Linked DNA regions of Tamandua tetradactyla. The protein of the gene in region 1 interacts with the protein of each later gene in a pairwise test. Links are inferred from orthologs where the notes say so. Each region holds a gene or a part of one and is shown on either strand. Other genes may lie near its edges.

Region 1 (7,094 bases):
TGAGCCCAGGGTCACAGGCATTAGCAGCAAAAGGGGAAGGAATTTGGGATTCTGGAATCCTAAACAGCCACTAACTTCTGCTCTGTTGGCCACTGACATAACACAGTCTTTATGTAGCCAGTTGGATCTGCTTTGGCCATGTTGATTATTAAAAGATTGAAACCCTTTCTTCACAGTCCGTGAATACACCCACCCCCAAAAAACAGACTGACCTCCCAGCCCTCCCAAGTCCCCCCTCCCCAGCTTCCCACAACGACCAGTTAACACCTGAGTCAGCAGAGGGTCTCCAGGACCCTATCCCAGCCTCTCCACCCCTGCACAGAACCACTTTCCACCTTAGTTTTCCTTTTCTGAAAAGTGAGGGAGTGGAACTGACTGAGTTGCATTATGTTTGTAATTATGTTAAATTATTTACGCCTCAAGAAGAGGACAAGACCAGGAAAATAAAAATCCGAAAACAATTCATTTGTTGGCAGAGAAGAGGGGGAAATCTCAATGATGTCTTTCTGGGTCTGTTAAATGGGCGTAATGAGATTAGCTACTTCACAGAGTTGTTTTGAGGATTAAATGTATTCAAATTTGTAAAAGCTTAGAAGAGTGCCTGGCGTAAAGTAAGCAACACATAAGTGTTTACTGAATAAACAAATCATTTAATACTGGCACTAAAATGTTTATTCAATACATTTAAAACTTAAGAAAGGTTCACAACAGAAAGAAAAACAATCGTGATGCTATGAAACACTTACATAACATATACTGTTGTTTAATAATCCAACACTAAAACATCTGGACTCCAGAATTTTACATTGAATTCAGGGAAATGAACACATCAGAATGCATTCCCATTGTAGCTATGATACAATGATTTGCATGATTCCCTTCTAATTAGAAATGTCAAAGATGTATGAGAAATTCAAGTTATGGGTTTCCTATTTTAACCCTGCAACAACATTTAGCCATTTTCTGGCAGGGGAATAAATGTAGCTTTGTGGTGCTAAGACCTAAAGTTTTGTAATCAGAAAACCAGGCCTTATTCAACTTCTGCTTCTCTCTTGACACTATGAGTCAGCCTAACTGCAAGTTTAAAGAGCCATTTCTTCGATGCTTGGTCCTATAGCATCCAACTTTTGTAAACACCTGGAGTGGCCAGGAAATTACTACACCCAGAAGCTAGCTTGATCAAAACTGCTTTTAGTTACTAAGCAACTGAGCTCGAGCTTAATTTAGACAGATGCGATGCACTGCAAAGGGAGACAAAATTGACTATTTTATCTTTCTGTTAGATATTCAGAGAAGGAAACCATCCAACAATAACTCCTTTATCTATTCCTCCCTCTTTATTACTTAACAATAACCTTATAGCCACATTTAAATAGTTACAAGCTTATCCTCAGATAGTAATTTATTAGACCTTCCCTGATGAAGAAAAGACTTAATAGATGTAGTTTAGGCATGGATTTCCACCTTTCCTCTTAAAAGTATATTTCTCTAAAGCTATGAAAAAAACTCATGCCTTGCTTAATGAGAAAAAGAAAGCTATCATTAACACCCTATAGAGTTAAAGGTAAATAAACTTTTTAACCACCATTTTATATTAAGAAACACCCAGTAAGTAATCAGAGACTTCTCCAACAAGCACAGTTTCCCACCGTCAAGGTCGTGAATCAATAAGCCTAAATGTATGTTATACAGCAGGGATCACTGTTCATAAATATTCTGACATCAGGGACAAGCATGCTAAAAACACATTTTCCCAAAAGCCTTAACTACTCATGCTTTTTATAGGAATTCTAAATTGTACTGCATCCTGAGAAGTCAGGCTGGGAGTTCACACAATAAGTTAAAGGATCACCAAACAACACTTACAGGCTGAGTACAAATTCAGGCTAAAAGACTGTGCAAATTCATTTGTGTATATGCTACAAAACATTTAATCCTGAATTAGATTCTTGTTAAAATACGCAGGATGTAAAGGTGGCATCTTTTCACAGTTCACACGGAAGCATTCTTTTCATTCCTTTAAGTTTTAAGTGCACCACCCATAGTTAAAACCCCATTTAACACACCACGGAAGTCTGGGTTATCTCAACTGAAATTGGCAGGCCTGGCTGATAAAGTTAACGGAACTCCGCACTCTGCGGAGAGAAGAAAAGATGATCAAATGCAGCAACGCCTGCGTTACTTCGGAATCCACTTGCATTTAATGCTTTACAGAGGAAGTAAAAAGAACCCAACAGCCCAAGATTAGGAGAAGTAAACGCAGGCGTGGCAGTAGAGCTGGACTGATTCTACCAGGGCGGCTCTGAAGGGCTTCTCAAAATCCAGTGGAAGTCGCGGGGAACCGCGCTCCTGGATCCGAGAAGAGTGTTGCAAATATCTCGAACCCGGAGCGAGGAGAACAAGCCCTAGAACACACGCGGGGCCCCAGGTCCTCCGCGCCTGCCCCAGCCTCGGTGTCATCCCATCGCGGGTCCCGTGGGAGCGGCTGTGTGACCACCTGCCCCGGACCATGCACCTGGCCAACTCCCACCCTCGGCACGTGGCACTTCCTGGTCGGTTCGGGATGCTGGTCCCAGCGCGACCGCCATCCCGGCCAGCCCAGAGCGCACGCAGAGGCTGTGTCGGCGCGGCCCGGCGCGACCCGGGGTCGCGCGAGATGGCCTGGGGCCACCGGACAGGCTGCACCCCAGGGCCCCAGCGCAGCTCCGAGCTTCGGGCAGTCGCGCGCCTCGGCAAAGCTGCGCGCCCAAGTTGTCGGCGCTGAAGGACGTGGGCCCAAAGGCGTGCCCAGGAGGCCCCCGGGGGCCCCGAGGAGGCGCGATCGCGCCAGGCCCCAGCGGCGCTGGCGCCTGCCGCATACGCAGCTGCCAAGGTCCCGTCCAAGTTGGGCGGGGAGCGGCCAGCCGCCCGGGAGGAGGGCCGGAGCGCCAGGGCGGCGGGAACCAGGCTCCCCGGAGCCCCGAGAGCCTGGGGCGCGCTGCGTCTCTTACCTGCCTCGCCAGGGCGGCAGCGGGCACCTGCACGGCCTCCGCGGACTACGGGGCTCGGGCCCAGCCGGCGCAGCTGGAGCGACCGGGGGGGGGGGCGGGTAGCAGAGAAAAAGCAGGGGTGCTGGAAGGGGCCCCGCGCCCTGCGCCGCCCGGAACTGGCCTCCAGGCTGCGCCCCGGCTTCGCAGGGGTGGAGCGAGGCGGTGCCGGGTGCCGGGCGCGTCGTGGCTGCCACTGGCCGCCACGGCGGGGCAGGAAGGCCCCGGCCACTAGGCGTCTCTCCTTGTCCCCGTTTTTTTATTCTCTCTTTTTCCCGGAGTTTCATAACCCGACCCCATCAGCCTAAGGAATGTTCCCTAGCCATTGTTATCGTTTCGGGTTCTCTTGAGTCCCCACGTGCCCGGGCATCGTTCTAGGAGCTTCGCCTACATGATCCATCTGGTCCACTGCAGCTGGTAGCCACTCGAGGCCCTGTCATACAAATAAAGAAATAGCGGCCCAAAAAAGTTGAAATAACTTGCCTGAGGTGATACAATTCAGAAGTAGGAGCTTTCTGGCCTCACCTCTAAACCTTCTTGCAACTCCCTGAACGGCCCACCTTAAAACGCAGGAGACTGGAATTTGTGTTTTGATGTCTCTAAAGCCCGAGCTCAGTATAATTCAGAAATTGGGAGTGAAATATGGAAAATTCTCATCCCACCCGTGGAACGCTCCAAATCCAGCAATCTTTGCCATTTTCAGTACACTTAAAATAGAGTTTTATGAAAAAGAGAACCAGTTGGCTTGAACAGCAGCCCTTTGGGGATATGTTTTTTGAATATAGGCCAGCCCCTAGCTTATTACACAGTACTGCCTCCTGCCAAGGCTGAAGGAAGCAATCGTCTCCACATACCCCAAATTTCATACCGATGGCACTTCTAACGGGTTTAGTGGATATTACACAGCCCAGACTGTCAGAGATACACAAGGTCTTATTGCACATGGAGCAACATGAAATGAAAAACATAATAATCCAGCCCAAAGTAGACAGACAGGCTGAAATTATCGTCTGGAACTCCTTTTTCTGTAATCTATGGTTGCTCAGCCCTCCCTGGACTACATTTTTCTCCCTTGAGCACATCTTTTCCTAATGAGGGAAGAGTCATACAGCCTTGTCACCCTTTCCTTGCTGAAAGAGATGATTGATGTCTTTTGAATCTTATGATACTGACAGATTTTTACAATTAAGCACATGGCCCTCTGAGCAAACAGAACATTGCCTAAGAGGAGTTTGGCAAGTTTAAGACAAGCATGTTATTGAAAGCCTGAAAACCCTCTTTCCTCCCCTTCCTTCTCAAGTTTTATTAGTCACAGATGATTTGATATGTATTATTCACACAAGTGACTATACTCTTGGAGCTTGTCCTTAGAAATTATAACACTTATGGTTGAGAAGCAGCATGCTATAAAATTGCATCCCAAATTCCTAAGTATCATCATTTAAAATAAACATTTGGCACAAACCTACAAACAATAGGTTTTCTATTAAATGTAACTAGAAATAAAATTATTTAAAAGCCCCCCAAATTTAATCTCTGGCTTTCTGACTAGAATAAAATAGAAACATGCTATATGTTGTTTAGAGATGAACTTGAGCTATGGATTGCCAAAGGTAAGTTTTATAGTAGTATGATTCTGTATGTAATTATTTTTATATTCCTCAGGTATTTGCTGGGGATTTTTCCCCCCAATCCTTCACACATTCAAAGATGTCAAAAAAAAGAGTCACTAAGAAATCCTGTTATATATCTAGCTAGATATGCATTTGACTTTTTTATCAGACATATTAAAATCATCTTAATTTTTCTCCTTTTCTCTGAGAATAAAAGTAACAGATGTTCACTGAAAAAAAACTTGGAGATCATAGAAAAACAAAATCACCTATAATATTACACACACACCCATTGTTAATATTTTGATATATTTCTTTTTTATTTTTTATATACATTAATAAAGGCTTATGTAAAATTAACATCATGTTGTACAGTTTAGAATCCTACTTATTTCACTGAATATATGTGTGTGTGTGTGTGTGCGCAATGAGCATTTTTGCCATCATTAAATTTTCTTTAAAAATATAATTTTGAATGGTTGTGGAATATTCCAATCACTTATGTATCTGTTCATCTATTTATCCCTTTTAGAATGTCTTCAGACATTTCTGAAGTTTGGAGATCATGTTGGAACGAGCACTATGGATATCGGTCTTTGTTGAGTCTCTAGGTTCTTTAGGATAGATTCCTGAGTGTGGAAAACTAGATCTACATTCATAAATGTTTTTGAGGTTCTGTGAGTCTTATCTTGCTTGTAAACTTGAAAATGTGATGGATCAATATAACATCTTGCTTTAATCAGCATTTCTTTGATTATCAGTAATGCTGAACACAGTTTGCTTCGTGTTTATTGGTTATTTGTATCATTGAGAATGACCTATTCATGTCTGTTGCCTGTTTTTTTCCCTATGGTAATATTATTGTTCTTCCTATTAATTTGCATTAATGCTTTTAATAAAAACAAAACTACTCTGCAAAGTTTGCATACCGATGTGCTCCCCAAGATTTTCCCTTGTGGTACTTATTCTGTTTCTATACTGTCCAGATGACCTCCGTCCTTTTGGGATGCCCAGCATCCACCATCTTTTCTGATAGTTTCATTTTCTTATAGAGAATTACTTCTTCCCAACTGTGCATATCCTTGGCAGAAAGACAATTTGGGGCTGCACTATCCAAGCCAAAAGGCAGATCTGTCCACTATATTGCCATCACCATCCTATCCCCCTTATAGTCTAGCTCCATGGGCTGACTCTCACAGCGCAAGGGGCCCTGCCAGGTTTGGATTTGGGCTCATGGAGCAAAGGCAGAAGTGGCTGTAGCAGTATTCATTAAAAAAACAAAAACTCTACTATCATAGAATTGAGAGGCACTTACTATAGAAAACACAGGATTAAGAACACAGCCTTTTTAGAAAATAAGAATTAGTAGTTCCTCTAAGTTTGACAAGTCTGAAATGTACTCTACCATGACCTAAGCAGCAACTTTGTCCATAGTACAAAATGTTTCCATGATCACTCATCATCTCATTACAAAGAACCATAAATAGTTTACAGTAGGTTAAAGGTCTGGCTTTTATAATGTCATCTACGTCGCTGCCATCCTCTGGCAATTTGTGCATGAGTAGCTTAAACTTCTTTGCTGCATGAGTTTCTTGCCTTTGAATGATGCAGTAAATAAATGCCATTGGTGGTCATCACTCTGTCCCCTTAGCCCAGAATCCATATTTTGTTCTAGCTAAAGTAGCTGTTCCCTCAGTAGTTACAATGACACAGTTTTCCACAAAACATTGCTTCTATTTTGAAAATCATATACTGTTGGGAATGTTGCTCTCCTTCCACACGCCTTTCCTCTGTGCAGCCCTACCAGAGCTACATACTTTACTGTTTAACCCTAAGCCTTTACTATCTTGACATGGAGTTAATTCAACATTGCAAAAATATACAGTGAACTAACAATCAATAAAGGAGAACAAAAAGAAAGTAATTTATAGTAGAATATCTCTCCAAACCTAACATGCTCAAACAGACCGCTCTAGAAGACATTATGGAGGAATCAGATGTTTGCATGACTTATAATTAATGTGTTTTTATTTGCAAGAAGTATAACAGTTTTCACCTGTTTATTTTCTACACCACTGCTTTAAGTAGCAAGTCGCCACCATTTCTCTATACTGACGCTTGAATGTGACAGTTACAACTGCAGACTAAAAAAGATGTCGCCATTCGCTGCATGATTTTCCAAAAATTAACTTTACATGAACAATGCTTAGTAAAGTTCCAAAGTACAATTTTCCCTCGATTTGTAAACTGTTTGTGTTCCCTTAAAATGCAGTGTATATTAAAAATATGCCAAAATATTTGTGGTTTATATGAAAAAGATTGTTAAGTTCTGGGCTCAGAGAATCAGCAGGTTTTTCACTTACATGAATGCCTGGTAAGACCTTTGAAAGTTTTCTGGGACCAGGGACAACTCTTCATTGTTCAGGACGACTGTGTCCCATGCACAGCAGAGCTT
Region 2 (6,942 bases), on another chromosome or scaffold:
TACTTCACTGTAGCTTGTTTAAGAACTGCTGGGGCATTCCCTCCCGATATGGGTTTTTTAGTGGGGAAGGAGGTGCCTAGAATGTTCATCTATACAAGGGACCAGGTTGTGCCTGCCCTGGGGGTCACACTCCTTCATGAGGTCAGAAACAACAGAGATAATTAATTCTCAGAGGTTAATCATTGTGGTTTCTCATTTTCTTCACCAGGCAGGCAAGCCCCAAAACCATGCTGAGGGGGGCATGTTTGAGGGGAGAGTAGGTTCCCCATGTGAATGAGCAGTGGAGCCAGAGACCCCTTAAATCCTCAGGTCCTCCACCTTGATAATGCCCCTTTTACCCCCTTTAAAGGCCCAGGCCCAAAGAAATGCTCTAGAAGTTCCCTCTACCTAGGATTTAGTTCTAAATCACCAGGAAATTTAAGAAGGAAGCATGAGGATTAGATGCTGCTGCCCCTCCTTTCTACACATCTGCTGCAGCTGCCTAAGGCTGAGGGGAGGGGCCATCCCCACACAGCTGCAAGGAGCTGGAAGTCCCTAGAGTGAGCAGGAGGGGCTCCCAGGCTATAAGTCTTTTACAACTTGGAATGGAAGGGTGCAGGGGGTGATCAAGCAGAGGCAGGGGGGAAGAAAGAGAGGGGAGTAGGGTTCCAGCCACCCTATTTTTCAGCCACCCAGAAATTCTCTCTGGGCCCCCACATTCTAGTAGTCCTATGAAATTATTCCTTTAATACCATACTCAATTGATCTCTTCCCTTAGCTTTTCTCCAGCTTTGGGGGCCTTTATTCCTGTACCAAAGGAAGAGGAGGGTTCTAAGGCTCTAGGGTCAGCCCGGCCTAAGGAGGAAGGACAACTGGCCCAAAAATGTTCAGTTCTGTCCAAAAAGACAAATGGGTCATCCCTGAGCACAGGGTTAAGGGCTAAGCCTTCAGCCTTTAGTCAAAGGAGAAAGGCCAGAACCAAGATGGGGACCCAGGAGATACTTGGCATTGGACCGGGCCAAGTGGAAGAGGCTTGCTGACAGTGTGGAGTGGGGAGAAGGGGCTGTGCCTTTCTCTAACCCCATCTGTCTCTGCTCATTGGATTATGTCTTTCCCTGTCCCTATTTCCGCCTCACTCTTCCATCTCCTGGTCTCTTCCATCCACTTCCCCTCCCCCTAGCCTCTTTTCCTCTCTTCTTTTCAGTGGGTTTTCAGGCCTTTCAGGCTTTCTCTCTGACTCCTTGGCAAGGAGATAGAGTAAATTTGTGGAGGAGGGCCTGGAGATCAGCGACTGGCTGTATACAGCTTGGTGGCGATGTCTATTATGATATTGTATGTGAGGATCTGCGTGAGAGACTGAAGGGATGGCATGACAATACATGCACACTAGAGGGGCACAGGTGTCACAGAAGGAGGAAGAATGCAACCAGGGAAGCCAGCAGCCTAGGGCATTGCTGGCAATTTCCCTAACGGAATGTTTTACCACCAAGAGGACAGCAATTAAAACGATTATGGTTCTGACAGCCTGGGGGTCCAAACACACCAGATACACAAATTCGGTGCATTCCCCCGCCCCGCCCCCCCTTTGGGCTTACCACCATCCTGCTCTCTTCCCCAATTTCTGCACTGCTTGTACTCCATTCTCCAGTATCTTCCCACTCTTCTGACCCTCTCTGTCTCTCACTTTCCTCCCCCTCTCTGGCTCCCTAACTGTGTCTCTGTCCCTCTCTGGCTCTTGGTCCCTCCCTTGATGTGTCTCCATCCCCCCCCCCCACCCCCCCACCCCCGTCACACACATTCCTCTCATTCTCTTTCTTACTTGGGCTCCATCCCTGGCTGACTCATATTCCTTCTTTCTTTTTCTCCCTCTTCCTTTCTTCCACCACCTCCTCCATCCCCGGGCCACCCTGATGCCCAGAAACTAGCCACTCCTAGCACCCTAAACTAACTGGACCCAGCAGGAAAGGCCACCAGCAGCCTCTACCCTTCCTGCTCACTCACCCTCTAGATCTGGTCTCCCTGTGCTTTAGGAGAAGTGAGACCAAGACATTCTCTTAAAAGGAGGCGATTCTGAAGACCAGGGCTGGGGCAGGCTGCTCAGGAAATTAGGATGGACTTGGGGACAGTGCCCCCTTCCGCCCTCTCAACTCTCCTGTTGGACTGGGGTTTTTGCAGCCCCTCATCCAGGATACTTGCACATGAGAAGCAGTGGGGGGTGTGGTGGGGGTTTGGATGTGTAGTGCGGAGATGTTTGTGATATGGTGTGTGCGCGAGACACTGTGTAAGAGTCACATGGGTGTGTGTCATTGAGTGCTGGTGTGTCTCTTGTAGATGTGTGTGTGTGTGTTCCTGTCAGTTTTGACACACATTATATGAAATTAATTAGGGGTTTTATGAGCGAAACTTCACTCCTTTACATCCCCAGCTCCTTCCTCCACTCTGGGACAAGCCTTTGCCTCTCTCTCCTCTTACCCGGGTTCAGTGGGCTAAGGATGAGGACACATGGTGCCATCGAGGCTGTGAGCCCTTGGAGCAGGGAACACTGCTCACGGGAACTAAGGCAGGGCTGGGCCAGGAGATGGCCAGCGGAGGCGAGTCCGAAGCCAGAGAAAGGGAAGGAGGGGCGGGAGCTGGCCCGGCAGAGCCGGCTGGGCGGGAAGCAGGCTCCATCCCAATTCCCAGGCCCCGGCCGGACTCCCAAACTGCAGGTCCGCGTGGAATGGGCGGCCGACGCCGCACCACCTCCGAAACACACGGCGCTCAGCACGCACCGACAGAGCGGGCTTTGGGGCCTGACACAGCCGGACCCCTCGGGGGACCCCACGCTTCCAATTTGGCCCTCGGCGTCCCGGATCGGCTTCCCTCCCAGGCCAGATCCCAAATCCGCCCCCTCCCCGCCCCTCTCACCGCCTCGGGGCTGAGCGCTCAGGGAGCGGGCACGCCCGGGTCCCCAGGTTCCTGGCCAGAGTCCGGAGCCTCCTCCTCGGCTCCCGCCGCCGCCGCCGCCGCCGCTGCTTCTGCTGCCGCCGCCGCCTCTTCCGCTCGCCGAGCCCGAGCTCGAGCCCAGCGCCGCCTCACCCCACCCGGCTGGCCGGTGATGTCAGAGCCGGGGAGGGGCGGGGGGGCGGGGAGCGGCGGGAGTGGGGGAGGCTGGGGGGAGGGGAAGCAGAGGGGGGCGGGGGAGAGAGGGGCAGGGGTTCTGGAAGGCTTAGGGGCAGAATTGGGGGAGGGTCGGATTGCGGCCGATGCCTCTTCCTCCTCAACTTCTCAGATTTAATTCTTTCCCAGTGGGATGCCCTCCGCCCCCTTTGACCTTTCGATGACCACAGTTGCTGGGACCTTAGGAGACGCTGAGCAAGTTGAGGAAGGGCTGAGGGTCTTGGAAAGCCCTTTGGTCTCCGGATTGGATATTTGGAAAAGCCCCTCTCCGCACCAGGTAGTTCCCTCCTTATAGGTCAGGGGAGCGGTAGTAAATGACTTCTCTCCATTGAAATACGGGTGAGAAGAAGGCGGGATCCTCCTTCACTTGACCTGGGTCCCAGGATCTTCTCTCTTCAGGCCTTCTGTGTAGTTTTACTCTTGGGGTGAAGCCCGCAGCCCCCTTCTGCCCCTCTCACCTTCCCCACATATACCCCTATCCCAGCTCCCCTCCCCCCACTGCCCCGTGATGTAATTTTGTTTTCTGGGGAGAAAAAAAAGCAGCAGTGAGCTCAGCATGCAAATATAGACAACCTGCAAAGCCACACTTTGCTCTGTCTCCCAGCTCTGACCCTCTGCCTAGGCCTAGCATGGCTTCTCTCACTTCCGCTCCACCCCAGGGACTTTCCTCCCCCAAATTCTCAACCAGACTGAAAGAGGGAAGGAAGAATTGGGGAAGCATTTATTTTTCACCCCATCACCAGCCTGAAGGGGTCTCTCAGCTGGGCAGGTCTGGCCCTGGGGAGAGGGAGGCCATCCTGGAAACAGCTGGGTCTGAGTACCAGCAGTGTTCAGTGCCGCCCTGGAAGGCAAGAGATCCCTTAGGAGCCCTGGAATGGGCACCTCCTTTCTTGGGTCTACATGGACTCTAGCTGAGTCCTGAACTCTGCTTGCTTCGGGTTTCACAGCCCTGGAATGGGCACCTCCTTTCTTGGGTCTACACGGACTCTAGTTGAGTCCTGAGCTCTGCTTGCTTCGGGTTTCACAGCCCTTCTCTTTGCTCTTCACCAGCCTCATTTCCAGGCCCTGCTATCACTGCCGCTTTGAGAACAACACACCCTCAGTATTTGCCTTCGTTGTACAACTCCTTTGCTCCTCACAACAGCCTGTTGTTGGGGCCAACACCTATTTCGTTGATCCATCTTTGGAGCTCAGAAAAGCCAAATGACTGATCTACTGTCATGCAGTTTGTCAGGGAAAAGTTCCAGTCTTCTGGAGGCCACGATGTGCTACAGGAGACTTGGGATTCATGCCAGCTCCACTCCTTCTTTGAACAGTTTATGGCTCTAAGCCTCAGGTGCTCCCGGTAAGAAGGGGACAGGAAGGCCATCTTCCAAGGCTCTCCTGAGATTTAGAAACGATAAGAAATCTCTAGGAACTGGGACAGGTGGGTACCTAAAAATGGGACCTGTTATTTAGTCCCAGGGCTTCCACTAACCTATGTTAGACAGTAAGCTCCGTAATATTATTGTCTTAGCCGAGTGCCCGTCCTATTTAGCAAATCTTTATTAAATGCGTACAAGTTGGATGAATATATGGTTTCTACTCTCTATGCTCCTGCCATCTTCTCTAAGGAACACTTCCTGAATTTGTCTGTGGAGAATAGGAACTTTTCTAACTTCAGATCACATCCTCCCCATACTTAAAAATCACCCTTATACCTGATCCACGAAAAAAATGTAATGTCGATTATTTACAGGCTTGTAGGTTTAGCTACTTGGTTTTTCCCTCCTAACTCCCTTACGCTTTACCCTCTCGGAGAGAACGTGGGTCCTTCCTGCCAGGATCTCTAGCAGGGCCCAAGTCTGGGGGATCCCCATTCTACAAAACCCAATGTATCTCCTCTCCATTCCTGTCGCCAAGTTCCTTGTTCACCCAACCTCCTGATTATTATAACAGTCTCTTATTACAAGAGTTGGACCCCCTGCCTTTGGTATCTCTATCATCTCACCTCTCTATATCTCTCTGGTTATTACCGCTAGATTAAATTTTGCCTTTCCCACCAGCTAACAGGATTACATTTAAACACCTCCATAACCCAGCCCTATTTACCCACCCAAACTCACTGCCACCATTTAAACGTCTCTTATCGTCTCTCGTCTCATCCGTGCCACCAGTATGACAAACACATCCTGCCAGTACTTTTGATGTTTCCATTAACTAAAATGTTCCCTCCTGAACTCCTACGTCCCTAGTCGAATCCCACTACTCATTTATGGCCTAGGTCCTTTATGAAGACATCCAACACTCTCCAATCTCTTTCTTCTGAGTGCATTCTGTTCTTCCATTTGTTCCTTCTTTTAAGAAACATTTATTGGGAATTTTTGTATGTCAGACCCCGTGGATGCAGAGAAGAAGCCTGGGTCCCTATTTTCAAGGGATTCACAATCTAGTGGGGAAGACAGACATGTGAATGAAGACCTGTAATATATTGTGCCAAGTATTAGAATAGAGGTATGCCTCAAAAGTGCCATGGGACCCAATGGAGGGAGCTACAGGAATGGGGCAAGCTCTGGGAAGGCCTTATCCAGGAAGTATTATTTGGGATCTGTCTTAAAGTTTGAAAAAGAGCTTCAGGGAGGGTGCAATCAAGCAGCACGTAATCACTTAATTACATACTGCTTTGTATTTTTCTTCAGTTGTTTAGTGTGCTTGTCTTGACTTTCCAGTGAAGCTAACCAGCTCAAGAGCAGGGACAGGCCTGGCACTCTCTGTTCTCCCTAAGCCTAACCGCTGCACTGGACAAACACCATGTGTTCAGAAAAGCCTTGTTGACTTGAAATGGATAAATAATACAGGCTTCTTTGGGCTGACTGCTTGGAGGGAGCCCCATCCCCCTCCTAGTGCAGTCCCATAGCTCATCCCTAACAAGGCACCCACACTCAAATCTTGTCCTTTGGCCTCCTCCCTCCTGCCACAGGGGTGAGACTTCACCAGCAGACACTTGCTTATGCTGCCCCAGATCTTTTTATTGAGGGCTCTCATTTGACCCAAATACATTAACAAGAGATTGCTGAGAGACCGCCCCACAATACCTTCCCTTCCTCCTGGCTAGGAATAAGACAGTCAGAAGGATATAGGATCTGAGAGAGTTGGGAAAGGGTGTGCATAGATGAAGGGAACAGGAGAGAGATGGGGGGCCTGTAGCTTTGTGGTTCTCTTGGGAAAACCACAAGAAAAAGTATAGGGTGCGATGGAAGAAACGAAGAGTAGATACAAGTAAAGTTATGAAATAAGAAACAGAATTTGGATGAGAGGACTTGGCTGATGTCTAGGGAAAAGTAGCTCCTTTCTTCAACAGATATGGGGAGTCATTGTCTCTGCACCCAACATATAGACCCAGTGGGCCTTATGCAGAGAATGGTCTTGTGTCCCTGGAGGAGCTCAAGGAAAGGACAAGGAAGGCAGGAGGGAGCATGAGAAGAGCAGGTGGGCCTGGAACATGGTTGCCACAGCAACTGACTAGTCATCGTCGTCGTCATCGTCGTCGTCATCGTCGTCCTCTGTGTTGATTTCACCCTCCAGCACATCTTCCAGCCATTCCTCCAGCTCCTCAGCAGAAGGCAGGTCTTCCTCATTGTCCATCTCCATCCATATGCTGTCCGCCTAGGAGATGGCGTGGACAGGGGACAGAAGGGGGACAGAAGGCTGAGCATGAGGTCTTTTGGCCTGTCCTCCTACTTATTGGACTCTATCCTTCCCTATATGTCTTGTCCCTTCCTTTCATCTGTTAATAGCTAGATAAACTGTTCAGGGGAAGGTCTG

The links. The genes of interacting proteins can lie anywhere in the genome.
Region 2: the proteins of PLD1 (region 1) and PEA15 interact in a two-hybrid assay, tested with the Homo sapiens proteins (2 studies listed by BioGRID). The link is inferred for Tamandua tetradactyla from reciprocal best matches to the Homo sapiens genes PLD1 and PEA15.

Annotation. Positions count from the first base shown.
Region 1 is NC_135331.1:69,252,648-69,259,741, forward strand, and holds the start of PLD1 (phospholipase D1), read right to left. Parts: upstream 3,093-7,094; 5' UTR 2,991-3,092; intron 1-2,990. UniProt on the Homo sapiens protein: Function as phospholipase selective for phosphatidylcholine. Implicated as a critical step in numerous cellular pathways, including signal transduction, membrane trafficking, and the regulation of mitosis.
Region 2 is NC_135330.1:13,265,635-13,272,576, reverse strand, and holds the start of PEA15 (astrocytic phosphoprotein PEA-15), read right to left. Parts: upstream 3,034-6,942; 5' UTR 2,887-3,033; intron 1-2,886. Other genes in the region: CASQ1 (calsequestrin-1), read right to left, coding at 6,640-6,783. UniProt on the Homo sapiens protein: Blocks Ras-mediated inhibition of integrin activation and modulates the ERK MAP kinase cascade. Inhibits RPS6KA3 activities by retaining it in the cytoplasm. Inhibits both TNFRSF6- and TNFRSF1A-mediated CASP8 activity and apoptosis.